Drosophila melanogaster: one gene and its partners. The protein of the gene in region 1 purifies or fractionates together with the protein of each later gene. This does not show direct contact. Each region holds a gene or a part of one and is shown on either strand. Other genes may lie near its edges.

The links.
Region 2: the proteins of bur (region 1) and Mfap1 purify together in Drosophila melanogaster (affinity purification with mass spectrometry, with the first as the bait; one large-scale study listed by BioGRID). This does not show direct contact.
Region 3: the proteins of bur (region 1) and Mst85C purify together in Drosophila melanogaster (affinity purification with mass spectrometry, with the first as the bait; one large-scale study listed by BioGRID). This does not show direct contact.

Annotation. Positions count from the first base shown.
Region 1 is NT_033779.5:21,170,813-21,183,370, forward strand, and holds bur (burgundy), read right to left. Parts: upstream 8,872-12,558; 5' UTR 8,518-8,871; exon of another isoform or gene 7,598-8,517; intron 6,867-7,597; 5' UTR 6,849-6,866; coding exon 6,759-6,848; intron 6,698-6,758; coding exon 6,393-6,697; intron 6,365-6,392; exon of another isoform or gene 6,228-6,364; intron 6,160-6,227; coding exon 5,859-6,159; intron 5,794-5,858; coding exon 5,697-5,793; intron 5,565-5,696; coding exon 5,195-5,564; intron 5,122-5,194; coding exon 4,929-5,121; intron 4,870-4,928; coding exon 4,468-4,869; intron 4,413-4,467; coding exon 4,221-4,412; intron 4,164-4,220; coding exon 4,062-4,163; 3' UTR 3,370-4,061; downstream 1-3,369. Other genes in the region: mAcon1 (mitochondrial aconitase 1), read left to right, coding at 1-1,016, 1,083-1,586, 1,648-1,836; CG31627 (uncharacterized protein), read left to right, coding at 2,476-3,030, 3,087-3,320; Mcm10 (minichromosome maintenance 10), read left to right, coding at 9,219-10,380, 10,441-11,609; Ret oncogene, read right to left, coding at 12,361-12,558.
Region 2 is NT_037436.4:1,934,415-1,943,372, reverse strand, and holds Mfap1 (Microfibril-associated protein 1), read right to left. Parts: upstream 2,306-8,958; 5' UTR 2,198-2,305; coding exon 2,119-2,197; intron 2,058-2,118; coding exon 1,136-2,057; intron 1,074-1,135; coding exon 638-1,073; 3' UTR 501-637; downstream 1-500. Other genes in the region: mu2 (mutator 2), read left to right, coding at 1-120, 177-391; CG46523 (uncharacterized protein), read left to right, coding at 4,780-4,875; CG5687 (uncharacterized protein), read left to right, coding at 7,093-7,761, 7,824-7,985, 8,044-8,159, 8,214-8,573, 8,640-8,958. UniProt on the Drosophila melanogaster protein: Required for pre-mRNA splicing.
Region 3 is NT_033777.3:9,042,380-9,053,177, reverse strand, and holds Mst85C (Mst85C), read right to left. Parts: upstream 4,534-10,798; 5' UTR 4,423-4,533; intron 4,022-4,422; exon of another isoform or gene 3,931-4,021; intron 2,815-3,930; coding exon of another isoform or gene 2,801-2,814; exon of another isoform or gene 2,623-2,800; intron 2,358-2,622; exon of another isoform or gene 2,225-2,357; 5' UTR 2,218-2,224; coding exon 2,051-2,217; intron 1,992-2,050; coding exon 1,430-1,991; 3' UTR 947-1,429; downstream 1-946. Other genes in the region: Rel (relish), read left to right, coding at 5,743-6,654, 6,951-8,954; Nmdmc (NAD-dependent methylenetetrahydrofolate dehydrogenase), read left to right, coding at 2,801-2,814, 9,539-10,326, 10,394-10,521.

The DNA of each region.
Region 1 (12,558 bases):
ATGCCGTCGATGTGATGGCCGACATCCCCTGGGAGCTGAAGTGCCCCAAGGTGATTGGTGTCAATTTGACTGGCAAGATCAGCGGCTGGACCTCGCCCAAGGATGTTATCCTGAAGGTTGCCGATATCCTGACCGTCAAGGGAGGCACCGGTGCCATCATTGAGTATCACGGCAAGGGTGTTGACTCTATCTCTTGTACAGGCATGGCCACCATCTGCAACATGGGTGCTGAGATCGGAGCTACCACCTCTCTGTTCCCCTTCAACCAGCGCATGGCTGATTACCTGAAATCGACAGGCCGTGCTGGCATTGCCTCCGAAGCCCAGAAGTACCAGGCCAAGATTCTGTCCGCTGACAAGAACTGCGAGTACGATGAGCTGATTGAAATCAACCTAGACACCCTGGAGCCCCATGTTAACGGACCATTCACTCCCGATTTGGGCCATCCCATCAGCAAGCTAGGCGAGAACTCGAAGAAGAACGGGTACCCTATGGACATCCGTGTAGGTCTTATTGGCTCTTGCACCAACTCTTCGTATGAGGACATGGGTCGCTGCGCCAGCATCGCCAAGGATGCCATGAGCCATGGCCTCAAGTCGAAGATTCCTTTCAATGTGACTCCCGGATCAGAGCAGATCCGTGCCACCATCGAGCGCGACGGCATCTCTGAGGTGTTCGACAAGTTCGGCGGTACCGTTCTGGCCAACGCTTGCGGTCCCTGCATTGGACAGTGGGATCGTAAGGACGTTAAGAAGGGCGACAAGAACACCATTGTCACCTCCTACAACCGAAACTTTACTGGCAGGAACGACGCTAACCCGGCCACCCATTGCTTTGTCACTAGTCCCGAGTTGGTCACCGCTCTGTCCATCGCCGGTCGTCTGGACTTCAACCCGCTGACCGACGAGCTTACTGGTGCTGATGGCAAGAAGTTCAAGCTCAAGGCTCCCTTCGGCGACGAGCTGCCCGCCAAGGGTTTCGATCCCGGCCAGGACACCTACACTGCTCCCCCACCCGTAAGTACATTTAAATTCCCAAACTGATTTATATTGTTCTTAAGAATCAATATGGAAATCCCACAGAGCGGCGAAAATGTCAAGGTGGCTGTCGACCCCAAGTCGACGCGTCTGCAGCTGCTGGAGCCTTTTGACAAGTGGAACGGCCAGGATCTGACCGATCTGACTGTGCTGATCAAGGTTAAGGGAAAGTGCACCACTGACCACATCTCCGCTGCCGGACCCTGGCTGAAGTACCGTGGCCATTTGGACAACATCTCCAACAACATGTTTATCGGAGCCACCAACTACGAAAACAACGAGATGAACAACATCAAGAACCAACGCAACGGTAGCTGGGGAGGAGTTCCCGACGTAGCCCGCGACTACAAGGCCAACGGCATCAAGTGGGTGGCCGTCGGCGATGAGAACTACGGCGAGGGTTCGTCCCGCGAGCATGCCGCTTTGGAGCCCCGTCACCTTGGTGGTCGTGCCATTATCGTCAAGTCCTTCGCCCGTATCCACGAGACCAACCTGAAGAAACAGGGTCTTCTGCCTCTCACCTTCGCCAATCCCGCTGATTACGATAAGGTTTGCGACTCTTAGCTTCTGTGACTAAGGTCATATTAACCATATCTTTGTACTTCAACAGATCCAGCCCACGAGCAAAATCTCCCTGCTCAACCTGAAATCCCTTGCGCCTGGAAAGCCCGTAGATGCCGAAATCAAGAATGGCGACAAGGTCGAGAGGATCAAGCTTAACCACACCCTGAACGACCTACAGATCGGCTGGTTCAAGGCCGGCAGCGCTCTCAACCGCATGAAGGAGCTGGCCCAGTAAATGGTCCTGGACCTACTTAAGACACCCAGTCAAGAAGCCTGATCCCAACCTTCTTCCTGTAGGTGAACACACTCAAATTCACAACGGAAGCAATCGAATTATGGTATTGTTATTCAATTCTTTTCAAATTGTTTATATTATATTTTGACTATATCGAGTGTGCAGCTTTAAAAGTGAATTATGTAGCCGAACGATAGCGAGAAATTGTAAGAGTTTTATATATATAATTATACACAATTTTATTTTTAATTCTGGCTATGCATGCGTTTCCTTCAATTTTTGTTCTTTTTGAATTTGTCCAAATGCTCTACAGATTGCCTCTACTATGAAACTGTTTTAAGTGCGAATAAAACTCAAGTAATATGTATTAAACCGATTCTTTCATTTAATAAACAACAGTTAAAACAAAAAAGCGGACAATAAGTGCCGTCAATTCATCCCGTGTCCTCTATATTTTCTTCATTATTAACATAATTTTATCAATTATAAGACGTAAGACACAACAATTTGCACAATAAAGCATAATATCAATAATAGAATCTACTGGGGCAGATTACTTAATTATTCACCCATAGCTTTTGGAAAATATGTCGAATTGTCAATCAAATATAAATTATTAGTAAATCCAATTCTAGGACTATGAAACGCAGAGCTCAAAGTAAAACTTCCGTTGCTTCCAGCACGGATTTCTTTTCACTCTCCGACAAGCCATCGTTGGGAAGAAGACGAGCCCTACTGGCTGCAAAACTTAAGCGTCAGGAACAGAGTACAACGTCCTTTGACTCCAGCACAGGCTCCTACACTTATACAGACGCCACTTCTTTGCGAAAGACCCCCATCACCTTCTCACCTAGCCCGGAGTTCATGAAGACCGCCAAGGCTAAATTAAAGTTAATCGCATTGTATGAAGATCACAAATGCTTGTGGAATCAGCGCAACAAAGATTTCTTCAATTTCGAGCTCAAAGACAGAATCTGGGATGCGATTGCCGATGAAATGAAAGCGGACTCGCCATCTGGGTTTTGGAAACATATGATTCACAAGCTTCGCTATAAAGTTGAGATGGAGCGCATACAAGAGCAGGGTGCAAAGTTTTCGGGTGAATCGCCGCAGCCAAAACTATTTTATTCAGATAATCTGCTGTTTCTAAATCACATGTTTGACCGAGAAGGGGGAAAACCCCCTCGAGAGATTGTATGTTTATAGTTAACGAACAAATCACTTTAGTATTTATTCTACTTTTTACTCAGCCAATGCATCTTAAGCCTTCGGGACCTACTCTCGAAAAGAATCCGTCTAGAAACCTGCGACATGTTCAGGAAAAACGTAAACGTACGCCCATTAGAGAAAAGATGGCTTCGCTTGAGAAGTTGAGGAATCTCCAAAATAGCAAGTTTGTTCTCTCCCGCGACGCTTTTCAAAAAATTCAAAAAATTACTAGTGGCGGTCCCTATTACTTGACAAAAACAAAGATTAGACCATAGGCCTTGATTTGAATATCTCAAAATAAAAAAATGCAATGCAAACACATTTGAATCGATTTTTCGCTTTATTACATTTCTTGTATCATAATCGTTTTGTTTTTCTGGTTTTGCCATTTTTTAAATATTGACGTTTTATATAACAATTCATAATTTTAGCTTACAATATTTTTGTTTTGTATTCTTAGAATCGTTTATGCCTTTTGCCATGAAAACACTTCTCTCTCTAGCAAATATACAATTTTCGAAACTTGTGATTTTGCAATTATTTATTATGTATATTATATATATTATATGTATATAACTAAAAATGCGTAAATTAATTTTTTTTTGTTTGTTACGTGGTTTGTGGGCACATTCCTTTTATCAAAAGGAACAAAACATGAAAATGTACATAAGTGTTATTGGCAAATAGTTTACCATCTGTTTTAGATCTTGATACACATACGTGCATCATCGATATAAAGAACCTGAATTGTTTTTAAATTTCGAAGCGGCAGTTGCAGTTCTGTATTTGCGCCTCATGAATTGCTCGTTTAACGTGTCTCTCTAAAAGGCAGGAGCAGCTGTGAAGTGCTCGAAGGCAAGGGTCGATCCGTCCGCCGTTGGATCTTTATCCTTCCTGACCGTCCATTGATTGGCCATTGTCCTATTATCGAGAGCCCGCCGCTTATTGGTTGGTTGATTATTTTTTCTCTCATCTATTTTTATGAAATGGCTGTTAAAAATTTTGGTTTGAACGCATCATTCCCATTCGGTGGTGCCCGGCGGCTTGGCTGTCAAGTCGTACAGCACCCTCGAGATTCCATCCAGCTTGGATATATCGCGTACAATTTGATTTAGGACCTTTGAGCAGGAAAAGATTAAATATACATTTTTCAGAAAGATTGAAAACTGACTCACTTGCAAAGGCATTTGCACGGATCCGGGCTCAGCCGGCACACCAGTCATAAAGTCGTTCGTTATGAACGGACGCAGCACTACCGACCTTCTGCACGAGGGTGTGCGGTTAATGGGATCGCGGTCAAAGTGCACGGGTATGAGAACAACAGGCATCTGCGAGATCTTCCGGTATAGTCCAGCTTGCATTATGATCTAAAACGGTTATGATATAATACATTTTATTTATTTCTATGACAAATCCACTTACTTCATTGGCAATATCATCGGCTTGCCTCAGCTGCGAAAGAACTACAGTATTCAGTGTGGTGTGCGTAATATCCGTCACTAGATACTGTACGGGTTCGCCGAAGATATAGCACACCCTGTTCACGTTGTGCAGAATTCGCGGTATGATTTTGGCGAGGAAGAGAAGATCCTGCCAGTTGGGCTCCTGGCTCGTGGATAGGCCTACTACGTAGCTATATGACCGTTTATCACCTTGCACGCCCACTGATCGGATGGGCAGCAAAGTTGCCTGGATCTGCGAGTTCGATGAGATACGCATAAGGTCTTTCTGTTCCGCCTCGCTCGTGGCCGCCGTTACGCGGTTGATCAAAGCATGGTTCTTCTGCAGTTTATTCTTGTAGTCTACAATCACGCGGATAATAACCTACAATTAAATAGTATATTTATTATAATAACTTTGACAGCAATTAATTGTTAACATGCCTGAGTTTCTGAGTAGTCCTTTTCCATGTATGCCTCCTCAGCGCAAAGGACGCGGATTGCCAGGCCAGGACCCGGAAAGGGTTGCCTCTCCACAAGCTCTTGAGGCAGGCCAAGATCATTGCCAAGGTCGCGCACTTCATCCTTATGAAAGTCGCAAAGGGGCTCAACCACACGTCCTGCGTTACGAAGCTCTCTGAAGAAATGAATTACAAAAAATAAGCTGATCACTAAAATTTGGTTAGGAATTTAGACTTTTGCTTTTTTACCTGATCAGATCCGTGTCATTGTGGTGCGTTTTGATTGTTTCTGCATTCGTGCTCACCATGCTAGAGGCGGACTCGATCAGATCTGGTCGGAGGGTTCCCTGGGCCAACATAACTTCTTCGGGCTTTAGTTTCAATTCGGCTACTACATCATTGGTCACCTTGACGAATATATCACCAATTATCTTGCGTTTTTCCTCCGGATTGTATGTCTGACATAACATCGGCGTTTCCACCACGGAGTACTGTCCGGGCCTCTTGACCTGCGTGGTGCCTTTAAGGAACGTGTAGCCTTCTTTTCGGACGATTAAATCAATGCCAATATCGCGCAGTGAACGCTCCACCTTTTCACTTTCCTTCTTGCGCATGAAACCTTGAAGTAAGGGATAAAATATTAGGTTTTAAAGTACAAATGATATAAATTCGGTATTCACCGAGTTAATGAATTATTTGACGTAGAAAAAATATAAATGAATAAATTTCGCTAATCTGTCTACTGTCATACCATTATCTACATGCACGGCAATTATCTGATGAGGGTACAAAGCACGGCGGAGCAAAGCTGCACAGACACTCGAATCCACGCCGCCGCTGACCAGGAGCTGTAAAATGTAGATTGTATTGAGATATTCATGTCTTGATTGAAAATTTATTTTCCCAAACTCACCAACACCTTATTGTTGCCCACTTTCTCACGGATATAGCGTATGCACTCCTCCTTTCGACTACCCATGGTAAAGTTAGGTGTCAGTTCGCAGATTTCGTACAGGAAGTTCGATAGCATCTGTTTGCCATTGATAGTGAGGTCCACCTCAGGATGGAACTGTACGCCGTAGATGCGTAGTACTTCATTGTAAATGGCTGTCACAATGCGGTTTGTAGACCAGCCACCAATCTTCAGATTCTCGCCTACCCTCTCAACGCTATCTCCGTGGGTTAACAGCACGGACTGTGTGCGACTGAGGCGACTGCGGGAAACGAAGATGTTATGTTTGTTAATTGCATGTATTAGAATAATTAATGGTAATGATAGATAATATGTTAGGCCACGTGTAGATCAGTTTATAAACTACTCTAAACTAAACTGTTCTTGGCTTTAAAATTGTTCTGGCAGCATTGTATCAGCGCTTAGGTAAACGCATTTAAGCCTAAGCACTTTCTTGTTGCTGCTTGTTTTGGGAATCAATATTTCCTGGCTCACCTAAAGAGCGGGCACGAGGTCTCGATCTCGATATTTTGTTGGCCATCCTCTCGAACATCCTTCTTGAGCACTGTGCCCCCGAACTCTTTGTTGATTAGCTGCATGCCGTAGCAGATGCCCAGCATAGGTATTTTTAGCTTGAACAGATCGGGATCATAGCTGGGCGCATCCTCAGCGTAGACTGAGTTGGGTCCGCCGGAGATGATGATGCCTCGATAGCCATTGTTGCGTATCGTGGCAGCTGGCGTATCCAGAGGAAGGATATCCGTCTCAACGAAGAGTTCGCGTACCTTACGGTCGATAACCTGCGGAGAAACCAGGACCATTTTAAGAAGAGGTTAAAACTACTCTTGGTTTTAAGCTTACCTTGCCGTACTGTGCTCCCGCATCAAGTATAACAATCTTATCATGCCGCAGGCCATTCTCTGCTGTGCCCAGAAAAATGTTTGAGTTCATTTCTTTATCGTTGCAGCACTGAAAAGAGCAAAGATTTGAGTGTCAGTCAAGCAATCGCAGAAACAAACACCGAATCTCGACTGGCTGGTAAACGCGCTTCTGCTGCTTATTTATACTCCAATTGTGGCTGCAATCGACGCTACAGAAACAAGGCTAAAAGCTGGCTAGGAGGTGGGGAAAATAGGTTTCGGATTGGGGCAATCGCGGAGATTGAGATTTGTGGTACAGAAGGCTCACATACCGGCAATATCTTGTGGAGCACTCGCAGAAACATTCAACATGCAGCTGGCCAGGACGCTCTACGATAGACAATAAACATTGGCAAATATTTTCTTGTCACAGAAAGATGATTTGTGCAATGTGGAAAGAAATTTACAAGCGACGAAAAACAAGGCCGAGAGACGCCTACCAAAAATGATTCGCTGTGCATCGCGACGATTACGTTCTGTGGGTATTATTTATTTGACCAAATATAAAACATTTACGTATATGAATAAGCCTATAACTTAATCTTAATAATACCTGTTTATTTAACCGTGGTTAGAATTTAAGACAGAGTGTATTCACAGCCAGCATAAAATCATAGATACCATAGGAAAAAGTGCTCCAAATGATCATAGTTTGGTTTTTTAAAATAATATTAAATAGATATAATTTTTGTATAATTTTGGTCAACAGACTGAATTTGGATTAACAACATGAAAAACGAATTTTTGTGCCAGGAGTATCTGTCAATGCTATATACTTCTACATACTAAAGTAGATTATCAAAGCATGGAAGTTAACATTTAATTTTATAGACACATTTGTCCCATCAAAGAATTTAGAAAAACAGCAGGTCAGGAACATGCTTTTCGAATTCCCGAAGTAATCGGCGACTTAGTACATATATTTTAAAATACAAATTTCGATGCATGAGGATGAGGATGTGAGGAGGAAACGGAACGTAATGGTGATGGGGTCAGGGGGGAGGGCGCCGGCTACTGACCGCCAGATGACAGGCGAAAATACTAAGAGGAGAGTGGCAGCGGAAGCGAGAGAGAGCGAAAGATGAGCGGAGAAAAATGGCAGGTAAACGAAAACAGAGCTGAAAAGTGCACAAGTAAAATAGAAAACAAAAATAAACAACAACAATCCAGGAGACAAATCGACGGTAGCAAGTCTTCTTGTTTGCCATTTATTTTCTCTTGAAGTGTGTAAAAACGCAGCAGCAGCAATATGAAAAGCCTCTCCGAAGGTTAGGAGTGCATTAGGTCACTGAAGCGATGCGATGTCTGTGATGTAAGCCGTGCTCCTCCTTTGGCTCTCTCTCATTTTTGATAACAACATGCAAGAGGTTATCAGAAACGGCACAAACCACAGCAACAACAACTAAAGAGGGCGGCCGCGTGGTTGTAATTTAATACACATGCAGAAGGCACGCACACTTACACACGTGGAGCCGCCAACAAGCGGCGCTTATAACCACAAAATGGCCACGGGATATATTTGCAAAACATTTAAAAAATTGCAAATGCGGAGAACAAAAAATCGCAACAAAAGCAAAGGCAAATGCGGTTGAAGCTAATTTGCGAATTCAACGGGCGGGGTGCGGAATTGTGGGCGGAGCAGCACCGCATGGCGATTTGGCTGGGATCGGGGATCTTTTTCGCCATATTGCGACTCTCACCTTCTCTCGTTTTAGCCTGGCTGCGGTTTTCCAGAACCGGGAAGTCCGTCGGCAAGGCCGTGGAATACCGTGACAAGCAGCGCAAGACTTTGTCTTAAGACGAAATTCGCGATCCGTTGTTTGCGGTCCCCCGTTTTCCTTCCTCACGCACACACTCAAAATTTCTTCGGCTGCTGCAGCTTCTTTTCCGCGTATCCAGGGCTGCTCGACACAGCTGGCGATGAAATCCCTGTGATTTTCACGGCTGCGTTATTATGGCCGCTTCCAGGGACTTTCCTTTTGGATTTCCTGCAGTTTTTTCGCGAATTAAAGCCGAAAGATGACTTATTGACGAGCGGATGACCATATTTCGGATTTGGGAAAAATCCAGCTGTGCTGCAAACGAAAAATACCAGCTGTGAACGTTTTTGGTATTAATATTTACCAAATAAATAAATTTATATTTATTTCGAAAACAATGAAAATTCCTTAATAACATTACATTACTTCTTTATTAGGAGTGCTTAAGTATTCTTTTAAATAATGAATTATAATTAAAATTATAATCTGTTTGTACAGTGTTGACAAACGAGCACTTTTTGTAGAACCATATACATTACCCGGTCACACTGAGCCCGCCAAAACAGATATGTTATTGCGCTTATTTAGAAAACCAAGAAAAAACACGAGAACACGTGAAAATACAAATCTACCCAAATGAAATGGGTCCTGCTCAGAAATCCGGAACAGATATTAGTATCGATGATGAGGAGGAAATACTGGCTCTGGAAAAACTACTGGGTGCAGCAGAAAACGAAAATACAAAATCTGCAGAGTCAGAAAAAGCAAAACCCACCGCACCCATTTTGGTGCCAAAACTACGAGAAGACAACAGTTTTGCTAATGCCTTCACCTTCGAGAAGATCGTGAAACCGGAAAAGCAGAAGAATGCTGCTATCATTAAGGAACCAGAGCTGGACTCGTCCGACGACGAGGAGGTAAAGAACTTCCTGGAACGAAAGTACAATGAGTACGGCAGTGATATAAACAAGAGACTGAAGCAGCAGCAGGAGAACGCCTACGAGTCCAAGGTGGCGAGGGAGGTGGATCAGGAGCTTAAGAAGTCTATCCACGTGGTTACATCCACCCCGCAACCCCTGAAAAATCCGCATAATCCTATTAAACGGCAATCGGCGGTGAGCACCACGTTTCAACGTCCTCCGCCAGTCGCTGCCGCCGTGGCATCTACATCCCAGTCAAGTGCTCCCGTATCTGCTGTTTTTACGGATCCAGTCTTCGGACTGCGCATGATCAATCCGCTAGTCTCCAGCTCACTGCTGCAGGAGCGCATGACGGGCAGGAAACCTGTGCCCTTCTCAGGCGTTGCGTATCACATCGAGCGAGGCGATTTGGCCAAAGATTGGGTCATTGCTGGCGCGCTGGTTTCCAAAAATCCTGTAAAAAACACCAAGAAGGGTGATCCCTACTCCACGTGGAAACTATCCGATCTACGGGGAGAGGTTAAAACGATCTCACTTTTCCTTTTTAAAGAGGCCCACAAATCCCTGTGGAAAACAGCGGAGGGTCTGTGCTTGGCTGTGTTGAATCCAACTATTTTCGAGAGGAGAGCGGGAAGCTCCGATGTGGCCTGCCTATCCATCGATAGCTCCCAGAAAGTCATGATCCTGGGTCAATCCAAAGATTTGGGCACATGTCGGGCCACCAAAAAAAATGGGGACAAGTGCACTTCGGTGGTTAACCTAACCGACTGTGATTATTGCATTTTTCATGTAAAGCAGGAATATGGCAAGATGTCCCGACGTTCTGAACTGCAATCGGCGACCGCAGGTCGTGGTATCAATGAACTAAGAAACAAGGTTTTGGGTAGGTAGACTTTGATTTTGAAGAAAACTCAATATAACTTAGTTTTTTCTTTATGTTAAGGCAAAAACGAGGTATTTTACGGCGGCCAAACATTTACTGCAGTTCCCGCAAGAAAAAGTGCCAAGTTAATCACCAAGGAACGTGATCGTCTGAGTATGCTGGCTGGCTATGATGTTTCCCCCTTCGCCCATACCGCTAACCACACCTCAAAGCCCAAAACAGCCGAACCCACTAAAATTCCATATGCAGAACGTGGCGGTCCTGTTTCCCGTTTGGCTGGTGGTGTGGAAGCGTCTAGGAAACAGAGAGTCCAAGATCTAGAGCGGTTGCGTCTGCTTAAAGAGGAAAATGAGCGCTTTGAAAAAAAGAAGCAGGCGGAGGGCCATGTCTTGGGAAGTGATAACAAAAAAGAATCTGAAGCAGGCACACCCGCTGTCAGTATGCCCACTACACCTGTTCCAGATAAATTCAAAAATCGAGGCTTCTCCTTTGATGCCAGTTTAACGCCCAAGCTTTCCGGTAGCGAGAACTTTTCCTTTGAAATCAATGTAGGATCTCGCCAGGCACAAAATGCTAAGCTGAAAGCAGCTGCCCTGCTGAAGAAGAAGCCACTGGAGAAGATCAACCCCAACTCCACACGAGGCAGTGAAAGTGGGAAGAGAAGAGCCATCGATGAACTCAACGAGAAGTTCTCTAGCAGCGCCAAGCGACAAAAAATTGATGAGGACGATCGGGAGTTAATGCGCAAATCAAGAATCGAAAAAATAATGGCAGCCACCTCATCGCATACGAATCTCGTGGAAATGCGAGAGCGCGAAGCGCAGGAAGAGTACTTTAACAAGCTTGAACGCAAGGAAGCGATGGAAGAGAAGATGCTGACCACATACAAGATGCCATGCAAGGCCGTCATCTGCCAGGTGTGCAAGTACACAGCCTTTTCCGCTTCCGATCGCTGCAAGGAGCAGAAGCACCCCTTAAAGGTGGTCGATGCTGAAAAGCGATTCTTTCAGTGCAAAGACTGCGGAAATCGAACTACTACCGTATTCAAGTTGCCCAAACAGAGCTGTAAGAATTGCAAGGGGTCGCGATGGCAAAGGACGGCTATGATACGGGAGAAAAAGATACTGACTGGTAGAGAAACTCTATCCGTGAGAGGAGACGAGGAAACCTTTATGGGCTGCCTAGCAGGCAGTGCTAATCTCAACTTGCTGGTACCCGATGAAGAGTGATGCCCCAATTGGCCGCTATCTGTTATATTTGGTTTATTTTATTTTATATTATTTCAAATAATTTTTAAAAGTTAATTTAAACATATGCAGTAGATGCAAGTATTTACATTCATTAAAGTCATAAAAGTCATCGATAAATAAGTACATTGGTTCGAATACCTAAATATCTAGAGTGCCTGTGAGATTGTTTAAGATGTACCAGATGTACTCAATGATTAATAATGAAGGTTACTTATGATTGTTTAGCTTATGGCGTAAATAAATTGAAACTTATATTATGACTGCTATTACATTAAATGGACATTATAAATCAACCTAGCTTACTTTAGCAGAGTTTTACAATCTTAAATTGAAATAAATATCCAAATACAGAAAACCCCTTTTGAAGCACAAATATTCCTTTAAAAACTTTATTTATTGAGTGTAAAAATTCTTTGGGATAACCATTCATTCTTCTGGCATATAATAGGACGAACTTGGCAATTTACAAATAAAGTTAATTATCTTTTAAGAATATGGCTTTTTGAAGCAAAAGTAATAAGAAGTAATAATAAAAAAAACTAAGGCTGTCTTTGGCTAGTTAAAATAGTGTATAAATGCTTGGGAGTATTTGAAATCGAAATCGGTTATCTTAAAATCCATATTTGGCGTCAACGTAAAGCTAATTGATTATATGTAAAACTAAGACTAATCAACAAACAGTTTGAACTGAAAAACAGGCGTGAGATTAGAACTCTGGGAAACACTATTTCTAGACTGCATCCTCAGCTTGCCATCCTGGACTCACCTCCTTCGTTTCACTGAGATTCAGCAAACTAGAGAAACGGAACGAGATGGTCTTGGACAGATGCTTTTCAAACTCCCTGCTGTCCAGGTTGTCTGGGATGAGACTCTTGTTGGTCATATCCAGGTAGGATCGACCCCTCTTCACGGGGACAGAATAATGTGG
Region 2 (8,958 bases), on another chromosome or scaffold:
CAACGTTCGAGGAGACCTACAAGTTCAAACCCTCCTCCGTACTGGAACACCCTCGCTTGCTGTATGGCTTGCACTTTATGCTCGGCAAAGACATAGTGCCAAAGGCCAACGAAATGAAAGGCAAGCCTAACTAGAAATCTTATTCCAACTAGTGGCTAATCGGTAATCTCCCACAGTCATCATTCACAGCGCCGGCGGCAAGGTTCATGCCCAACCGCCTTCGCTGGCCATCAGCGTGGATCTGTACGTGGTCACCACCAGCAAGGATACGAAATCTAAGCGACGTCTGAACAACTATGAAAAGGTGCACTTCATCAAAACCGAGGCTGTTATGCAGGCGCTCGTTCAACACAACATTGAAATGCTACAGGAGCACACGCTCAAACTTTAAACGTTATAGTTTTTTTTTTTGTGTGTTCTCCGCTTTTTGTTATCATTCGTTAGCCATTATTCCAAAATTGTACATCACACATCGAAGTCCCAGACGAAATCTCGTTCATACCTTAAACTTATGATATTTGTATTATATATAATTGTTTGTATATGAAGTTTTGGTTCCATCATAACTGTGGCCGCACAATATTTACTTGTTACTTTCCTAATGCCTGTCAAATACATCAATTACATACGTCTAACACTACTCCATCTTTTTTCGCTTCGAGCCGGTGGGCTTGTCAAACTGCTGCCTCATGCCGCCGGCGTGTTCGTTGTGGAACTTGATGTTGCTGGATGACTCGGCGTACCAGGGCGAGTCGAACTTGGTGGTGTCCTGGTCCACTAAATGAGTGTACTTGGTGCGGCCGCAGCGGCCGAAGTTCTTCACCTGCATCACCTTGGGCAGAATGGTCTTATCGAAGTGATCCTCCAGCGTGGCCTGGGCGAAGTCGCGCTTGAGGACGTCGTTCTCCTCATCCAGGTAGAAGGCACCACGATGATAGTACTTCTGCAGGAACTTGTACTTGCCCTTGGTGGCCTTGTTGGTGACCACCTTGGGGTTCTGGCGCAGCTCCTGGCGTCGCTCCTCTTCGGTCATGTTGCGCATGCGATCAATGTCCAGCTTCTCGCGTTCGACGCTGAAAGAAAAGGGAAAGAATTGTTAAAAAGGAATTCTAAGAGCAGTTTGATGTTCACTTACTTATCACGTTCCTCGCGATCCCGCTTCATTCGCTTGAGTTCACGCAGCTTCCAGGCCTCGTATTCCACCTCGTCGTTTTCGTCGTCCGTGCACACGTCCTCGATGCAGGCCTCATTGGTCTCCGGCTTGGTCTTCTCCAGATCTTTCTTGACGCTCTCCTCGACCATTCGCAGGGTGGCTCTTCTGCGCTCCTTGGCTGCCCGCTTGGCCTCCGCCTCCAGCTGCTTCTGCTTCTGAGCCTCTCGCTCCTTCTCCTGGATGGTGGCACGATCTCTCTTTCGGACGAAGAGCGGCTTCAGGCGGGGTTCGTTGTCCTCCTCGCTTTCGGTCTCCTCCTCGTACTCGGAGCTTTCTGATTCGGACGATTCCGACTGTTTCTCATCCTCTTTCTGTAGAACCTCCTCCTCGCGCTGCTGCTGCAGCATGCGGGATCTCAGCTTGGTGCGCCGGTTCTCCAGCTCTGTGTCGCTGAGCTCCGCATCCGTGTCGGATTCGGATGCCAGTGTGATCTTATTGGTGCCCCGCTGAATCGCTCCCTGTGCTCCCTCGTCTTCCTCCTCGTCTTCGCTGTCACTCTCCATGATTTCCGGTTCGTGGATGTGTCGGTGGCGTTCCCTCCGCTCACGTTCCATGTCCTCCATGTCTACGGGTCGCTGCCGCAATCTTCGGAGGCGTGGATCGTCCACCTCGGCATCGTCCTCCTCCTGGCCCTCACCCGCCGCCCGCTCTTCGCCCTCCGCGCTGCCGCCTTGACGGGAGAGCTCCAGCTTATGCCGTTCCGCCTTGTGGCGCTCAAGGCGCTTCCTGGTGTCAATGAAGTCATCGTCGTCGCTCTCCTCCGAACTGGAGTCCGCACGGGCGTAGTCGGGTCGCTTACCGGATATGTATCGCTGCACCTTCACCTTTTGCATGGACAATTCACCTATTGAAGAGATATGCAGCTTATAAACAATTTCTGGTGAGGATCGAGCTTCGCTGTTTACCTTTCTCATTGCGCATGGGAATGGCGCCCGCTGTGCTCTGGATCCCAGAAGCGGCGGCGGCGGCGGTGGCTGCACTCATCGTGGTTTTAACTTATAATCCACGGGTAATAAGCAAATCTTTGTATTTATTCCTTGTAAATATTTCCTAAATAAAAGTATGGTAAATTAGAGATGGACAAAAGTATCTGAAAATAATCGATACTTTGCTTACAAATATTATCGATGCCTATGCAGCTCAGCAAAACCAGAGTGGCAACGCTATCGAACAAGGCCCGCAATTTGAAATATTAAGAAAGTTTTACTACATATATATGGTGAATATTGAATTGCAATGACGGAAGTGCGATGACTTCGCAAAGCCAGAATTAAGGCCAGCAACTAATTGAGACATTCGATAATTGAAAATATTAATACACAGAAAGAAATGGAGCAATTTATTGTTAGACAACTATATATTGGAAAAAACTATTGAAAGTAAGAAATTCATTTTCATTTAAGCTTTTTTGGATTGCAAAAAATTTAAACATATATATTGGGTTCCTTGGTGAAAAGGAAAATGTTCTTTTCTGTGCTGTTTTTATAAACAAGTGTTTTAGCAATGTCAACGCCCACTCTCATTAGTAAATTAATTGACTACTACGCTTTCTCCAATTCCCATACGATGGATAGAGGGAGGACGGAGGAGGGGTGCTTGATCTTGTGTAATGCCGGAATCGAATCCAAAATTCTTTTTATTGGTATTGCGTATTTTCAGTTTCGACAGCACGCAGCCAGCACGTGTGAAGATTGTCTTGTAATGTTTGAAAAACCGTTCGGATCTGATGTGATGTGATTTGATACCCACCCAACCGGACCAAAGTCCGAAAGAACCACTTGGCGGACGAGGGGCTCGACCAGTTTTGTGACGTCTTCGGCCACTTGCATCCGAGGAACAGAGTTAGCTGGATTTGCTTTGGATATGGATGGGGATGGGGATTTGGAATGGAATGGAATTGGAATGGCATGGGATGGGATCGTTTCGGGCCTAAACACCGAGACGCATTTGCCGAACTGCTTTTAACTGCTTTTCGTCGGCTGAGGTAGTTGAATGGCCAAGATTTACATGAGACTGTTAGTTAACGACATGGCGGGCATATTTAATTAATGCAACACGCTTCATGCTTAAGTGCATATCTGCCTAGCTAACTCACTGACCTTTAGAAAAATGGGCGTCGATTTGGTGACTTTCCGCTTGGGGGGAAGTACCTGCTGAATATTTGGAGACCCCCTTTCTTTTTGCCACTACATACTAGATATGTACATACATTTTACATTTATCAATTTATTGCGATTTGAACTCTTTTTGAACTGACCGGCGCCGTTTCAGTTCAAATTTAAATTCAAACTGGGAATACATTTCAATTAGAATTAAACACCCACACTGGCGCACAGGAATTGTAAACAAATAATTTTCTATTAGCGGGAGAAAGAGTGTCATTCCTGATCAAAATCGTACCAGATCGAACTCGTTATCGTTATCCAAGTAAAACACCACATAGCCAGCAATTGAGGCGAGGCGACAAGTGTACAAAAAACGAAAGATATAATCGTTTCCATTATTAATTGGCGCACTTTTTGCCTTTGTGACTCGAGTTACTTAAAAAGTAATAAAGGGTGAGACAAATGGAAATATTTACACATCACGCAATCCCAAACTGGCCAAGAACCAGCAATTAAACTTTTATGTTTGTTTACAGCGCATTTCACTTGGCTCAACTTGCCACAATTAACAATCGCCATCGAGGGATATGCAAAGGAGTTGGAAAATACCGGATATTTTCCGGCCATTCGTGGAGCGTCTTCTGCAGAATTGAAAATGAATCTTCGCATATGAATCAGAGCGTTTCAATTCCCTGAAATTAATTGATAGCAATTTAGGAAACGGTTTGGCAAACATTTATACACGATTTTCAATTAAACGTTTCCTCAAGCTTATTTTACTTATACCCATCATATTTTTATATACATTTACTTAATACCTACATACCTACCTGATTATAAGTTTCCTATCATTTTCTCAATCTACTAACCTTTTAATTTAAAGTTATATAATATTACATTAATAAACATTTAATATTTAATATCTGTTTCATTTATAGTATGAACCATAATGTCTTTGGTTTTATTTTTTAAAATAGGCTTAGTGCCCAGAGTCTGTTGAAAATAAGTTGCCTATATCTTAGCACTCCACACGACCATTGGCTGGCGATCGAGTTTCCCTCTCCGTGGAGATCGGCGATATCATATCCGGCGACGCTTCGCCTGCTCTTAGATCGATTTTCTCTCTTCTTCGCTTTTCAGACCCCAAAGAGATCTCGATGTGGTGGGGTTCCCGAAGCTGAAGCTGGGAGCCCGAGATCTGAGATCCGAGGCCTGAGATCCGAGATCTGTGATTTGCCTGCGCCGCCTTGGGTGTTGTATAAAATAGCGTAACGGCCGCTTGCAAAACTCATTCATTTAAAAATTGTCAATACGTTCGAACAGCGATCGACGACGAGCTGGGAAAAAAGGGAAACAACTAGTGCTCGAAGTGAAAAAAAAACTACGGCAAGGACTCGGCTCGAGGAACCAAATCCAAACAGTGATCAGTTTCATTTTGTGACTAACTAAGAAAACACGTTAATGAAATACAGAAACAATCGTGGCACAATATTGCAAATCCAGTTCAGAACATTTCTAAGATACAGTGCAGCAAACCTAATTCCATTTGAGAGCTAAACGAAGACGACAACCGAAGGATATCGAATTTGACGAATTGAAAAATTACTAACCAAGGTGAGAAGTTGTTCAGTTTTTCAGTGAAAGCGGCAATGCATGCCAGTGAGTTATTTCGAAATTTATCATACCGATTGTCACTGATAATTGGTAGTTGCAAAATATCTCAGAACATCAGAATAGTAAAAAGCATTAGCCCAAAGGAAATTTATTCCAATTACTCATGACTAACTAAAACTAGAGTAAAAAGTTGCGAGGGCAAAAACAATTTGTAAAATGCATTTGTCGAACAAGCTAATAAAGCTGAAAGTATTTATACCCATTCCGAAGGCATTTTAATATTTTGTCGCTTGTGTTACTTCACTCTGTTTTTTAGCTGGCTAATCTCGCCAGTTTTGAACTAGGTAATGTTTGCAGCTGTCGTGGCCGTGGAAAATCTCCTTGCTTGCGATTGGTATCTTCTGCCAACTTGTCAAGCGGACTATTTTGTTTAAATTAATTATAATAGAATAGAAGCGAGTTCGCCCAGACGAGATAAAAAAAAAGCCGAGGAAAGCAAAACAAAACACGCATATTAATTGGGCTCGAAGACGATGATGATGCCATTTAATGGAAGCGAAGGGCCTTTGGAATGGGCTGGGCGAAAGTCCACCAATTAAGCCAGACGCCTGTCCTCAACCAGAGCCCACAATTCATTTGACCCGTGTGTTCCTCCACCAAGGAAAACGGGTTTCACCCCAAACACAAATAGCCAACAAACAAATGAGCAATAAATATGATTTCGTAGTTTAGATTACTCAAATCAGAAGTTTGTAAACTTGAATAAAATATTCTACGATGAGCTAGAAACTAGAAGGAGCCTAGACCATTCCTTACTGGTATTTTCTCTCTGTGCATCTGGACATCTCTCTTGTGGTCGGGCCTTTTGCTCTTAGTTTCCGGCCTTGCCTTCGGAGACTTGGAAGCTGCTCTTCGAAGATTCGCCGAGCGATGGCGAATTTCTGGCCCAAACCGGCGCAATCCGGCTCAGTCCAATGGCCACCGATCTAAACCAGTTGAATTCGCTTAAATCTCGATTGGCGCGCTCGCACTCCCCATTTTCGCTCAAACATTGTAGCCCAATCTATTCGCCATTCAGGCCATATGGTGCATACATGTCCATGTCGCACAGGAGCAGCTTTTCTCAAATGGTTTGATTGGCCGGAAAAGTGGGCGGGGGCAGTAGAGGCGCCAGGAGGAGTGAGGAGGCGCCATGGCTTCTGGTCTCATCAAGAATAATTGTCGAGTGTTGGGGATCAATTGAATGGGGGAAGTGATTGCCATCGTTGATCAGTTGCAGAATGTGTGTTTTATGATTTAACAATTAAGAGGAGACGGAGGAGGCATGTGTAATAAATTTAAGTTACTCAAAAGATAAGGCTTGTGTAATGAATTCAAATACTTGACAATTAAAACGACAAGTAATTGCATAAATCAGCAAGGAAATTGAAATATATTAAAAAAGTTTGTTACACATCGAGTAGCATTATGCAATGAAATACATCCTAGAATTGGCGTGAAATAAAATCAAATATCTTAACAAATTCCTTACCACTTGCAAGCCGTGCGATTTCTTTTGGCCAGAAATAACCAGTTTGAATAAATCAACGACCAGTTTGAGGCAGCTTTCTGCTGGGCCTTCTTGCTCATCGCCCGTCCACTTGTAACCCCAAAAGAGCCATAACTCTGGATCTGGGAATCCGAAATCCACAATCCGAAAAAGAAATATCACCCAAAAAAAAAAAAAAAGAAGAGCGTTGCCTTGACTGCCGCCCCATGAAGAAAACATATTAATCATAAAGCAATTACGCTCAAATGGAATTGTTTGTATAAGGAAATAATGTATTTGTACTTGAACATGAGACGCTGGCCAATGGTCGATGGCCTCCCCTCCTCCGGATCCAGAGCCGCAGATCCAGATCGTTTGGTTAATTAATTAATGGGCCCCAAGATGACACCAAGTGTGACACCCACGGTGCGATGGTGCTTTGTAATGCCGCCTCGTTGCAATTCCTCTTTGCGAACCTTGATCTTGCCAGTGATCCAAGTCTAAATCGCTTCCGATCCGATCTCGTTTCAGTTTGCGCACACGTCGCCGGGTGGAAAGTCGGCTGGAGAAAGTGATCTCCCGGAAATCGCCATCCTTCGATCCCCATCCTTAGTCCTTGCTCGTGATCCAGGATGTTCGCCACCCAGGACACCATTCTGAAGTTGCTGACCCTGTGCGCCCTGGCACATTCTATAACCGCATTGGCCCTGCAGGAACGGTCTCCGACTCCAGGAGGATCTGCTCCCTTGGATTCCAGCCACAAGTACTTGATAGTGCGCGGTGAGTCGCCCAGTGAATCCCAGGAGCATGTGGAGTTCGATAATGCCGCCACCCTGCTCCTGAGAGCCTTCAAGAATCAACAGATTCCCGCATCCGCGGAGCTGGAGGAATGCAGTGCGCCCAGTCACAAGGCCACCTTCTCGGGCTACGACTACGTGATTCTGCTGGGCATGCTGGTCATCTCGCTGGGCATCGGCATCTTCTATGGCTTCTTCCAGAAGGGCGGCAGCTCGTCCAACGAGTTCCTGCTGGGCTCCGAGATGAGCATCTTCCCGGTGACACTCAGTCTCACGACCAGCTTCATCACGGCCATCGAACTGCTGGGAAATCCATCCGAGATGTACTTCCAGGGCACCCAGTTTGTGCTCATCGTAATACCCATGGTGATTGTCATTCCGGTTGCTGTGAAGATCTTCTATCCCATTTACTTTAAAATGGAGCTCACCAGCTGCTATGAGTATCTGGGCATTCGGTTTGGCAAGGAGATCAGGATTCTGGGTGCAGTGCTCTATGTCATTCAGGTGGGTTCTGGGATTTAACTCGAAAATGAATGAGATTTATATATAGACTCCTTCTCCTTCAGATGTGCTTCTACACGGCTGTGGCAGTCCTGGCACCGGCAATTGCTCTGTCTAAGGCCACGGGACTGGACACCAAAATCGCCGTGGTCCTGATCTATGTGGTCTGCGTTTTCTACTCCTCACAGGGAGGCATGAAGGCTGTAGTCATTGCCGACTCCTTCCAGGTGAGTAACGAGATGGTGGAACTCATCAATACGAGAAGATATATCTAAATCCTTTTAGGCTGCTGTCCTGGCTGTATCCTTGGTACTGATCGTGGGCTTGGGCTGCTTCTACAGTGGCAATCCCATCCAGGTCTTTCAGACTGCTTCCGATCACAATCGCTTGGAGTTCTTCAAGTGAGTTAAGCCAAATGAATCCAAGGACCTTAACAATTCTGGTTAATTCTGCAGCATGGATCCCGATCCCACAACACGTCACACCGTCTGGTCGGTGGTCATTGGTGGCTTTTTCTACTGGACCTCGCTGTTCTGCACCAACCAGGCGTCCGTTCAGAAATGCATGTCCTTGAAGTCCTTGAGGCTAGCCAAGATTGCTCTGGGCTTTGCCATTATCGGCTTAATTGTGGTCTTCCTGCTGAACTTCTACACGGGTCTGATGGTCTTCACCCACTATGCGGACTGCGATCCCTTGACTGCTGGACGCATTTCAGCCACGGATCAGTTGTTGCCCTACTACGTGATTAATACCTACGAGCATATTAGCTCCGTGGCGGGAATCTTTGTGGCTGGCATCTTTGCTGCCAGTTTGGGGTGAGCTCTTAAACTCCAGAACAGCTTATGGAAGTCTTATTCAAAGTTTTTCCTTCTCAAAAACAGCACCGTGGCCTCTGCCTTGAACTCCCTGTCCGCTGTGACCTGCGAAGATCTGCTGGTCAATGGCATGAACATCAAAATCTCTCCGGAGAAGGGAGCCACCTATGCCAAGTGGATGTCCCTGGGCTTTGGCATTGCCTCCTTCGGCTTGGTCTTCATCGTGGAGCACCTGGGAGGAGTTCTGCAGGCCACGCTTACCCTCAATGGACTGATTGGTGGTGTCACCCTCGGTCTCTTCGTGCTGGGAATCGCCTGCAAACAGGCCAATACCAAGGGCGCCTTCTACGGAGGACTCTTGTCCCTGGCCCTGGTCATATTTGTG
Region 3 (10,798 bases), on another chromosome or scaffold:
GCTCACCGGCCGGAGGGGGGTGGCCCCCAACGCGTGTGCCGCTGCCCAGAGGCTCCACCACTGCACTGCAATGAGAGCGATGAGAGGGAGAGCCGCGAAGAAAGCGGAAAAACAAACTAGAGTGGTGAGTTCGACTCCGGCGACGCGTACTCGAAATACTCCCTCTCATTCGTGCATCGGTCAACGTGATGTTTTGCCATTCAACACACAAAAAACGCTCACTTATCACGCTCCACGTATATTCGCCACTTTCCCATGAACTTGTAATAAGAATTCTAAATTTGCACTTCGCCTCGTATCTAGTTTTTGTCAGATTTCCGCCGCTGCGGATGCGATTTGAGTGCTATATGTGGTGGTGGCTCTGCCGTTCGCCTTGCTTTTGTTCTGATTCGTCTTCTCATTCTCCGAATTACAATCTTTTCGCTTGCGCCATGAAGTAAATTATAATTATAATTCATACGCTGTCAATGTGGGGGCCGTTCACTAAACTTTTCACAGCACCAAAAACGCACACACTCTTATACAAGTGTGTATTTTAAATAATAATTACCAAATAAACACTTATTTAAACGGATTTCTGGGCAATCCGCACTCGGACGTACTCGATTTTTTCCGTACGCGAATCGCTGAAAAATCCAGCAGCGCTGCGATCCGACCTCTCTGCTGGTTTTTTCAATATGACGGCAGTTGGCCAACACCAATGTTTCAGTGGGACCGCCCTGTCCAAAAATACCAAATACCAAAGTTCAATATTAAATCATTTTAAACAGTCATTTAAACAATCAACCAGTTAATTTAACGGAAAACTAGCTCGGCAAAATTAAAAAATATATAAATGTTATAAATGCAAAGAGGTTCTTACAATATCGGACTTAAGCATTCATAATTTTATGTCTATTTAACATTTTGCGTTATTTGTTATATATATAAGATCATACAAAGTTTTGCTTACAGTTTTATTCTTTATTCTTTATCAATTGCAAAAAATACGTATCTTTCTAATTTTAGTAGCCAGCAAAGAAAGGTCGATTCCAAAAACGCAATGTAAAGTATATTTTAAACAATATGGTAGATTCAGCTCGTTCGATCCACTTTACTGCAGAAACTCATATACTGTAAAAAGTGCTTATAAATTGATGTAAAAAGTAAAATGAATTAGTTCATCTTAGAAAAACTTTTCTTAAGTCAGGTGTTCGTTTGACGTCCGCCGTTGCGTCTCTCGAAAGTTATCTGTTCTCGACTCACTTGCTTCAAATAACGAATATTCCGGAACATTCCAGATTGAATCACATACATCTATCTATTTTCAATAGTAATAAAAAAATAAGGAGGCGGAGTATTCTTGCATGCTATCAACTGGGTTCTTACGGTTACGGACATACAAATCTACACTTTAATGCTTATGGTTTAGGGTTTTATATGGCTATCGCTACAGGTCTTCGTCCATGTGCTCCTGCTCAGACTTGTTAAGATTCACGCTGCACGTGTTGTTGTTCTCGAAGAACTCCAGATCGTCATCGTAGTCATCCAGCTCCTGGACCGCCGGTGCCGCAGCCATGGGTGCCACTATTTGGGGCGACACCATCTTGACTTCCGGCATCGGCATCGGCATCTGCAGTGGCGAAGGCTGCCAAGGGACCAAGGCGGTGCAGGGACGTGGTATGGACTTGATTAGCCACTCCGGTGGTATTACAGGTGGAGCGGAACCGGGACCCGATCCTGGCTTAAGGCCATCACAAATTACGATGCGATTGGCATTGCGCAGTTTCTGCTCCAGTTCCATGGCCGCCATTTGATAGGCGGGATTGGGGTGGTGGGTCTTCCCGGTGCTGGTGGATGGTATATCATCCGTGGCCAGTCCGCCCGTAACGCTGGCCACGCTGTTGTTGTTGCTAACAACGGCCGTGGCGGCGACATTGATCTTCGGATCCAGCGATAGACCGCTGAAATGCTGGGTGATCCTCTCCTCGGTTATAAGCATTTTGGGTGGTCTGCAATGAGTTCTGTGGTTAGTATTTTATGTGGATGTTGTGTTGAGGATATAGCTTACAGCACTGCCGGTGCCGGCTGCTCGGATTTTCGCTTATGCTGCCATTTTACCAGATCATTCTCCACCGAATTGCCGAAGGTGCTGCAGCTCCCGAATCCGAAGTCCATGATACCGCCCGGAGGAGGCGCATTGAATGGGAATGATTTCCGCTTGCTCTGGGGCTTCATCGCCAGTCTGTGGGCATCAGAGATGCAGTTGCGTGGGCAATAGTTATGCAAAGGAATGGTGTTCAAAATTGCAATGGAGATTGGATTTGCGACTTCTTGTTTTCCTTTTCACTGCAGTGTGGCCAGATGGCGTTGGCATAAATAAACCAAAAAAGATGCATCACACTTGCACTGCTAAGACACACTCAAACGTTAAGCGTTGAATTTACAACAGTATCAGATTATTCATACAGATAAAATTGTACGTGCGCAGCATTATCTTCGTTTTATTCTTGGTTATTGAGAAATCTGCAATTTGTCTACCCCTGAAATATTTTAATCTAAGGCCAATTTCGAAATTTCGAACTAGAAAGGTACTAAAAAATACCCGTTTTAAGAGCCATAAAAAGGGCTGCAACGCGCTTCTTTTAAATATTCCAAAGCGACAAGTGTGAAACCAAGTTCTTTTATAGAATACTTTAAACAAAAAGTGTTGCAATATTTAACGAGCTTAAAAGTATATTAGTGCAATAAACTCTAATAGGACATCAGATATTATTCAACAGATCAAACGTTTTCAGTTATTAAAAGAACTCGATTCAAAATGCGATTCACAAGGTGAGTTTTTGAAATCCGTACTTTGTTACATCTCCATTATTCATCGAATATAGCTATATATTAATTATGCCATGTGCTTCTCCTACAAGCATTTTTAGTTCTTAATTATTGTTTTGAAAACATGAGTTACAATGAAAAATAAAGGACAAAACATTTTCTTTCTGAAAACTTCGAAAATAGTTCTATAGCTTAAAACAATTTTGACAATAAATTCACAATAATTTTCTATCACGCATCCTTGGGACACAAATTTGTAACGACCAGAGAAAGTAAAATGCTCGTCGAAATATTCCAGTTGTAAATTAAACAAGCTTGTTAAAGCATGACTCCCATTGGGCAGCCCACTCGCACTTTCCACGGGGGTTATCTCCGTTCGAAAATAACATGTTTTTCAACCCAAAACGGGAGCAATCATCGTCCGCGAACAACATTGTTAATGACGCCTGCATTGTTTTTCCTCTGGCTAAAAACAAAAATCGCCAGTTACCAGGCGTTTGTGCATCAATTCCATAACTTATGGAATAGGTAATGGGTGATCAGAGGGGGCTGAACTCAAAGGCTTATCAGTGGGAGACGTTGGTGGCCCCCTGTGGAGCAAATTGACGTCACCGGCCAACAGAATCCAACTTAATCTCCGAGTGCAGTAATCGGAAATCAGATTTCGTCATCCGCCGCGTCGAAGAAAAACAAACTATTGAAAAATAACTCGTGTCGGAAATTTTAGAACAGCAAATATTCCCAACCAAAATCGTAATCATGTAACTGGTAATAAAAGCAACAAAAGTTGTTCTCCACGTCTTTAAGAATTTCCTAAATAAATATTTGTGCACACAAGGCGAACTTTTAAAAATTTTCATGTTGAGAAAATAAAATATGTTCAATATGTGTTTAGCTATTTTCCGCGTTGTTTCAAAATCGAAAATCCATATATGCACATATGTATTTGTTCCGTTTTAAGCCATATTTATATGCACACAGTTCAAAACTTTTATCGACAAGTGTTTAAAGCTTTTAAGTCGCGCTCGCTCGCACACGCATATTTAGTGCGCTGAACCGAAAAGCTTTTATCCAAAATATACAAACACGTGCGAGGCTCATTCAGTGATCTGTTTCGTTCTATACAGTCCATCGGTATCCGACAATCAGTGCAGTTCGAATTTTCCACCAGGAAAATTTCGCAAAAGCCAACAAAAGAAGTCACAATAAGGTATGCTGCTAGTGAAAATTGGCTAACAAAAATCCATAAAAAATACATAATTGACCTTCAAAGAAATTTGAATAGGCGTTCTTAAGACACGTTTGCTTTTATCAAGCCAAGAAAACGAATTTTCCTTTGTCCGCATAAAGAGCTAATTTTGTAGCCTGCCTATTAATAACTCTAGTCTAGACGCAGACTAGTGGTTGCAAAGTCAAGACCCCGATTTGTTTATGTTTTTCCTGCTAATTGATTATCAATATAAACAAACTCATCGTCAACTGATAAGGTGTAAAAGCATTTACACACACACACCCACACACCTTGGCATGGTAACAAGAGTAAGAGAGGAACGGCGAAGTGAGAAGATTGATTAACACATCAAAAAGTGCAAAGGGATCGTAAATACATACATATATACTCTAAGTGCAGCCTGGCAACAGATCAGCTGTTTCTGCGTGAGTGTGCGTGTGTGTGTGCGCGGGTCCAGTGGGAGTGGAAACCGACTGAATTGCAAATTAGTTCAGTGGCGCATGCTTATGTAGTTTTTTTTTATCATTTAGCACAAGTGTCTTAGGATAAAAGAACATTCCGGTGTTTTAAATTTTCCAACCATGTTGCGACGTTCTATAGGATCCATTTCGGTCTTGGCTTCCCGGAATTACGCCGGAAAGTCTAACTTCAGGTGTGTATGCTCATAAGAAAGTGAATCGGGTCCGAAATAAAACGTAATATCATACGAAGAAAAACAAAGCGTGCGCTAGAGATGAGTGCGTGACGAAAGTGAATTAAGGGAAAAGCCAATGGAAAGCGTAAAAATATATTATTAATAATACTAATATTCGGTACTTGCATTGCATAATTATTATTATTTTATAACACAGTTATAAGTTGTTACGCCGGTTCTCATTATAAATTTGTATTAAAATTCCTTATATCTTTATATTTATATAAGTGTTGTATTATTTATATTAATATTTTGTATTATATACCTTTATATCTTTTTGTCGAAATAGGTTAAATTATATTTATAAAAATTAATCAAGAATAATGGGAACAAACAATCGCGTACGCTTCCATCCCTAGATTTGTAGAACATCTGATTGGGGCGTTGCCACCCAACTCGTTTTATCTGCCGGTGGCAGCTCTGCCTTGTTTTTATTTTAGTGTGCGCGGTGTGTTGAAATCAGGTATTCAAATAAATGAATTTGAACCGTAGTTTCCGTGAAAAGCTGACCCGAAAGCTCGGCGCAAATAGCTTAAACCTGTTATCAGGGCAGCGAGCGTTTTGCTCGCAACTCGTGAGCGATACTACTTGTGTTCGCGCAGTGCTTCGTTCATTTTCGTTCCAGCAGTGGCGCACTAAAGTTCCCCGATTCGCTGCGTCGTTTTTCCATAAATTTGCATATATGTATTAGTTGGGTGGAATACATATAAACAGTGTGATTTCGCTCTGTAAACAACAACCGCGAATCCAGAATTCCGTACATGCTTATAGTATAGCCGATCAAAAAAATCACACTGAGTGGTGCGCCAGAAAAACCCGTGAGTCATCTCGACGTGGCCGCCGCAGATAATTTCCCATCCGCCGAACATCGGGGAAGTACCTAAAACGAATGGTCAGCCATCGGCGGAGCTCGTTTCGATCATTAGCGTTCCGATCGGCGAAGGCAGCGGATCACTTTTGAGTTGTTAAGACGCTATTGATCAGAAATATTGGATTGATACGGACTATGAACATGAATCAGTACTACGACCTGGACAATGGGAAAAATGTGATGTTTATGAACGATGCATCCAGCACCAGTGGCTATAGCAGCAGTACATCACCCAACTCCACCAACCGATCCTTTTCACCAGCCCACTCCCCGAAAACCATGGAACTGCAAACGGACTTCGCCAATCTTAATTTGCCCGGCGGCAATTCACCACACCAGCCGCCAATGGCAAACTCACCATACCAGAATCAGCTGTTGAACAACGGCGGAATTTGCCAATTGGGTGCTACCAATTTAATAAACTCCACTGGCGTTAGTTTCGGCGTTGCTAATGTCACCAGTTTTGGCAACATGTACATGGATCACCAGTACTTTGTGCCCGCTCCGGCCACTGTGCCACCGTCCCAAAACTTTGGATACCATCAAAATGGCCTGGCATCTGACGGCGATATCAAACACGTGCCGCAGCTGCGGATCGTTGAGCAACCGGTGGAGAAGTTCCGCTTTCGGTACAAGAGCGAGATGCATGGAACACATGGATCGCTAAATGGCGCCAATTCGAAGCGGACGCCCAAAACCTTCCCGGAGGTTACACTGTGCAACTACGATGGACCCGCCGTCATCCGGTGCAGTTTGTTCCAAACTAACTTGGACAGCCCACATTCCCATCAGCTGGTCGTGCGCAAGGACGATCGGGATGTGTGCGATCCGCATGATTTGCACGTGTCCAAGGAGCGCGGCTATGTGGCGCAATTTATCAACATGGGCATCATACACACCGCCAAGAAGTACATATTCGAGGAACTGTGCAAGAAGAAGCAGGATCGCCTGGTCTTTCAGATGAACCGCCGCGAGTTGTCCCACAAACAGCTACAGGAACTGCATCAGGAGACAGAGCGTGAGGCCAAGGACATGAACTTGAACCAGGTGGGTAAACCAGCGCGTAAACAATATCGAGTTGCTTGCTTCGATGAGGTGAATATGCACGTTTGCATTTATTATTCACACGTTTAATTGCTCACTTTAGAATGCTTTAGTCAATTAATTATAGGTTGCATTTGCTACCTTTTAATCTTTTTATTTAAGCAGTCTGTAAAGTATCTACTCGTTTAGCTCGAATTATATAAATTTCTCTGCTAAAATAACTGAGCAATATAACATCGAAGCAATTAACTTACTGAAAAGCAACAAAGAACTCACTAAAAAAGTAACACCAACTTTAGGTGCGGCTCTGCTTTGAGGCCTTTAAAATTGAGGACAACGGCGCATGGGTTCCACTTGCACCGCCTGTATACAGCAATGCAATCAATAACCGCAAGTCGGCACAAACTGGAGAGCTTCGCATCGTCCGCCTGAGCAAACCCACTGGCGGGGTGATGGGCAACGATGAGCTTATTCTACTGGTGGAAAAGGTCAGCAAGAAGAACATTAAAGTGAGGTTCTTCGAGGAGGATGAGGACGGGGAAACCGTGTGGGAGGCATACGCAAAGTTCCGCGAATCGGATGTACACCACCAATATGCCATTGTGTGCCAGACGCCTCCGTACAAAGATAAGGACGTGGACCGCGAGGTCAACGTGTACATCGAGCTCATTCGTCCCTCCGACGATGAGCGCTCATTCCCGGCGCTGCCCTTCCGCTACAAGCCACGGAGCGTAATTGTGTCGAGGAAACGCCGACGAACCGGGTCCTCTGCCAATAGCAGCAGTTCGGGAACAGAAAGCTCTAATAACTCGCTGGATCTGCCCAAAACGCTGGGCTTGGCGCAGCCACCAAATGGCTTGCCAAACCTTTCACAGCATGATCAGACTATAAGTGAGGAGTTCGGACGCGAAAAGCATCTAAATGAATTTATTGCTTCCGAAGATTTCCGCAAACTTATCGAGCACAACTCTTCTGATCTCGAGAAGATCTGCCAGTTAGACATGGGAGAGTTGCAGCACGATGGTCATAACCGGGCGGAAGTGCCATCGCATCGAAATCGTACAATTAAATGCTTGGATGACTTATTCGAAATTTACAAACAGGACCGCATATCGCCAATAAAAATCTCGCACCACAAAGTGGAGAAGTGGTTTATCGAGCATGCTCTGAATAACTACAATAGAGACACGCTCCTGCACGAAGTGATCAGCCACAAAAAGGACAAACTGAAGCTGGCCATCCAGACGATACAGGTGATGAACTACTTCAATCTGAAAGATGTGGTCAATAGCACTTTGAATGCGGACGGTGATAGTGCCCTGCATGTGGCGTGCCAGCAAGACCGAGCGCACTACATACGACCTTTGCTGGGTATGGGATGCAATCCAAATCTGAAGAATAATGCCGGAAATACCCCACTGCATGTGGCCGTCAAGGAGGAGCACTTAAGCTGCGTGGAAAGCTTCCTTAATGGAGTGCCAACCGTACAATTGGACCTCTCGCTAACGAACGACGATGGTCTGACGCCTTTGCACATGGCCATTCGACAGAACAAGTACGATGTGGCCAAGAAACTGATCAGCTATGATCGGACCTCGATTAGCGTGGCCAACACAATGGATGGTAATAATGCACTCCACATGGCAGTTCTGGAGCAAAGTGTGGAGCTATTGGTGCTCATTCTGGATGCCCAAAATGAAAACCTTACCGACATCCTGCAGGCACAAAATGCAGCCGGCCATACTCCCTTGGAATTGGCCGAACGCAAGGCAAATGACCGGGTGGTCCAGCTGCTGAAGAATGTGTATCCGGAGAAGGGAGAACTGGCCATGACCTGGATTCCATGTAAGGTCAAGGAGGAGATCGATTCATCGTCGGACGAAAGTAGCGATGCTGGTCAGCTGGAGATCAAGTCCGAGGAGATGGACATCGAAACAAAGGACGAGGATTCCGTGGAGTTGGACCTAAGTAGTGGTCCAAGAAGACAGAAAGATGAATCCAGTAGAGACACCGAAATGGACAACAACAAATTGCAGTTGCTGCTCAAAAACAAATTCATTTACGACCGGCTCTGTTCGCTGCTGAATCAGCCTTTGGGACATGGGTCCGATCCCCAAGATCGGAAATGGATGCAACTAGCCCGCCAGACGCATCTGAAGCAGTTCGCCTTTATATGGCTGGGCGCGGAGGATCTGTTGGATCACGTGAAAAGAAAAGGAGCCTCTGTAGAGTTTTCCACATTTGCTCGTGCCCTGCAGGCAGTGGATCCACAGGCTTACGCCCTACTGGTTAACCCAACTTGATTATGTATTGAATGTTGATCAATAAAGTACCTTAGTTTTACAAATACTATTCTCTTGTGGAATGAAAAATACGCGAAACTAGGATGCCTGGGATAGCAAGCTTTATTTTTAAATATCAGAGCATTAATTTATTTTCCTTTATTAGCATTTATTTAGTTTCCTTTATTATTCCATGGAATCTATTCTTTAGAATAGTTCTATAAGCAATCTAAACTTGTTCCCTCAAACAATTACCATCGGCGCCCTGCATGAGATCACTAGCAAAAGGGGATCCATCGATAGCTCGGCATTAAAAAGTACATTCTAAGAATGGGGAATCACTAATTTTTCATTGCCGCTCGCGCACGCCGCTTGGTAAACAAGTGGGTGAATCATACATGTACTTATGCGCCTAAGTGTGTGTTGTGGGGGAATTACTGTTGCGTAACTGCAGTGACAGGCGGGGATTTACCGACAGCCCTTATCATTCCCGGTTTATGACCTTTCCTGCTATATTTTTTCAAGAATATCGCAACTAAATAATGTTTTAAGGAATAGTACAGTGTAATCTCATTCAATTAAATAATATTATGATCGCATTCCAGCAACATGGCTCAAATTATCGATGGCAAGGCCATAGCCCAGGAGGTGCGCACCCAACTAGCACACGAGCTCAAGGGAATGGAGGCTGCTGGCTATCCGAAGCCCCATCTCACGGCCGTCATTGTGGGCGAGGATCCGGCTAGCGAGAAGTATGTGGCTAACAAGATGGTCGCCTGCCGGGAGGTGGGCATCTCCAGTGAGACCAAGAGATTGCCCGCCTCTACCACGCAGGAGGAGCTGCTGCAACTGATTGCCGATCTGAACAAGGATCCCCAGGTCACGGGGATACTGGTGCAGCTGCCGGTACCCGAGCACATCAATGAGCGCACCATCTGCAATGCCGTCGATGTGGACAAGGATGTGGATGGCTTCAATGAGGTCAACATCGGACGCACGGCTCTGGACATGGAGGCCAATATTCCGGCCACGCCGCTGGGAGTCAAGCGACTGTTGGAGCATATGAAAATCGAAACTCTCGGTCGTAACGCCGTTGTGGTGGGACGCTCCAAGAATGTCAGTCTACCGATGGCAATCTTGCTGCACGCGGATGGCAAGTATGCCACCAAGGCAATGGATGCCACGGTGACCATCTGCCACAGGTATACACCGCCCAAGGAACTGGCTCGCCATTGCCGCCAAGCGGATATCATTGTGGTCGCAGTGGGAAAGCCGGGTTTGATCACCAAGGACATGGTTAAGCCCGGAGCCTGTGTCATCGACGTGGGCATCAACCGCATCAAGGATGAGAGCACTGGCCAGTTTAAGCTGGTCGGAGACGTGGACTTTGAAGGTGTGTGGCTGATCTATTAAATCACTAAAGACCAACAAGATTGATTCATTTCCTCATCACTTTGCAGAAGTTCGCCAGGTCGCCGGCCACATCACTCCTGTGCCCGGCGGAGTTGGTCCCATGACGGTGGCCATGCTGATGCACAACACGCTGAAGGCAGCCAGGAAGCAGTTCGATGATCGCAAGTCCTCCTGAAGATTCACCAGTAACTATCGTGCTTCGCTGGCCGAGAAATAGTATTTTTATTTAATCCCCTAAACCTATATTAGATAGTAAAGTTACTGACCACAAGCTAACATGACATAAACCCACATATTTTGCTATATAAACAGAAATAATGAAATACTACTATTTCGTTTGATTTATGACTTTAACGATGGGAGGTATGAAAAAGTTCCAATATATGATCTTTGAAAAGGTTAAATAATTGAGAAAATATACTTGATGACAGCCAAATAAATTCCAATTATGT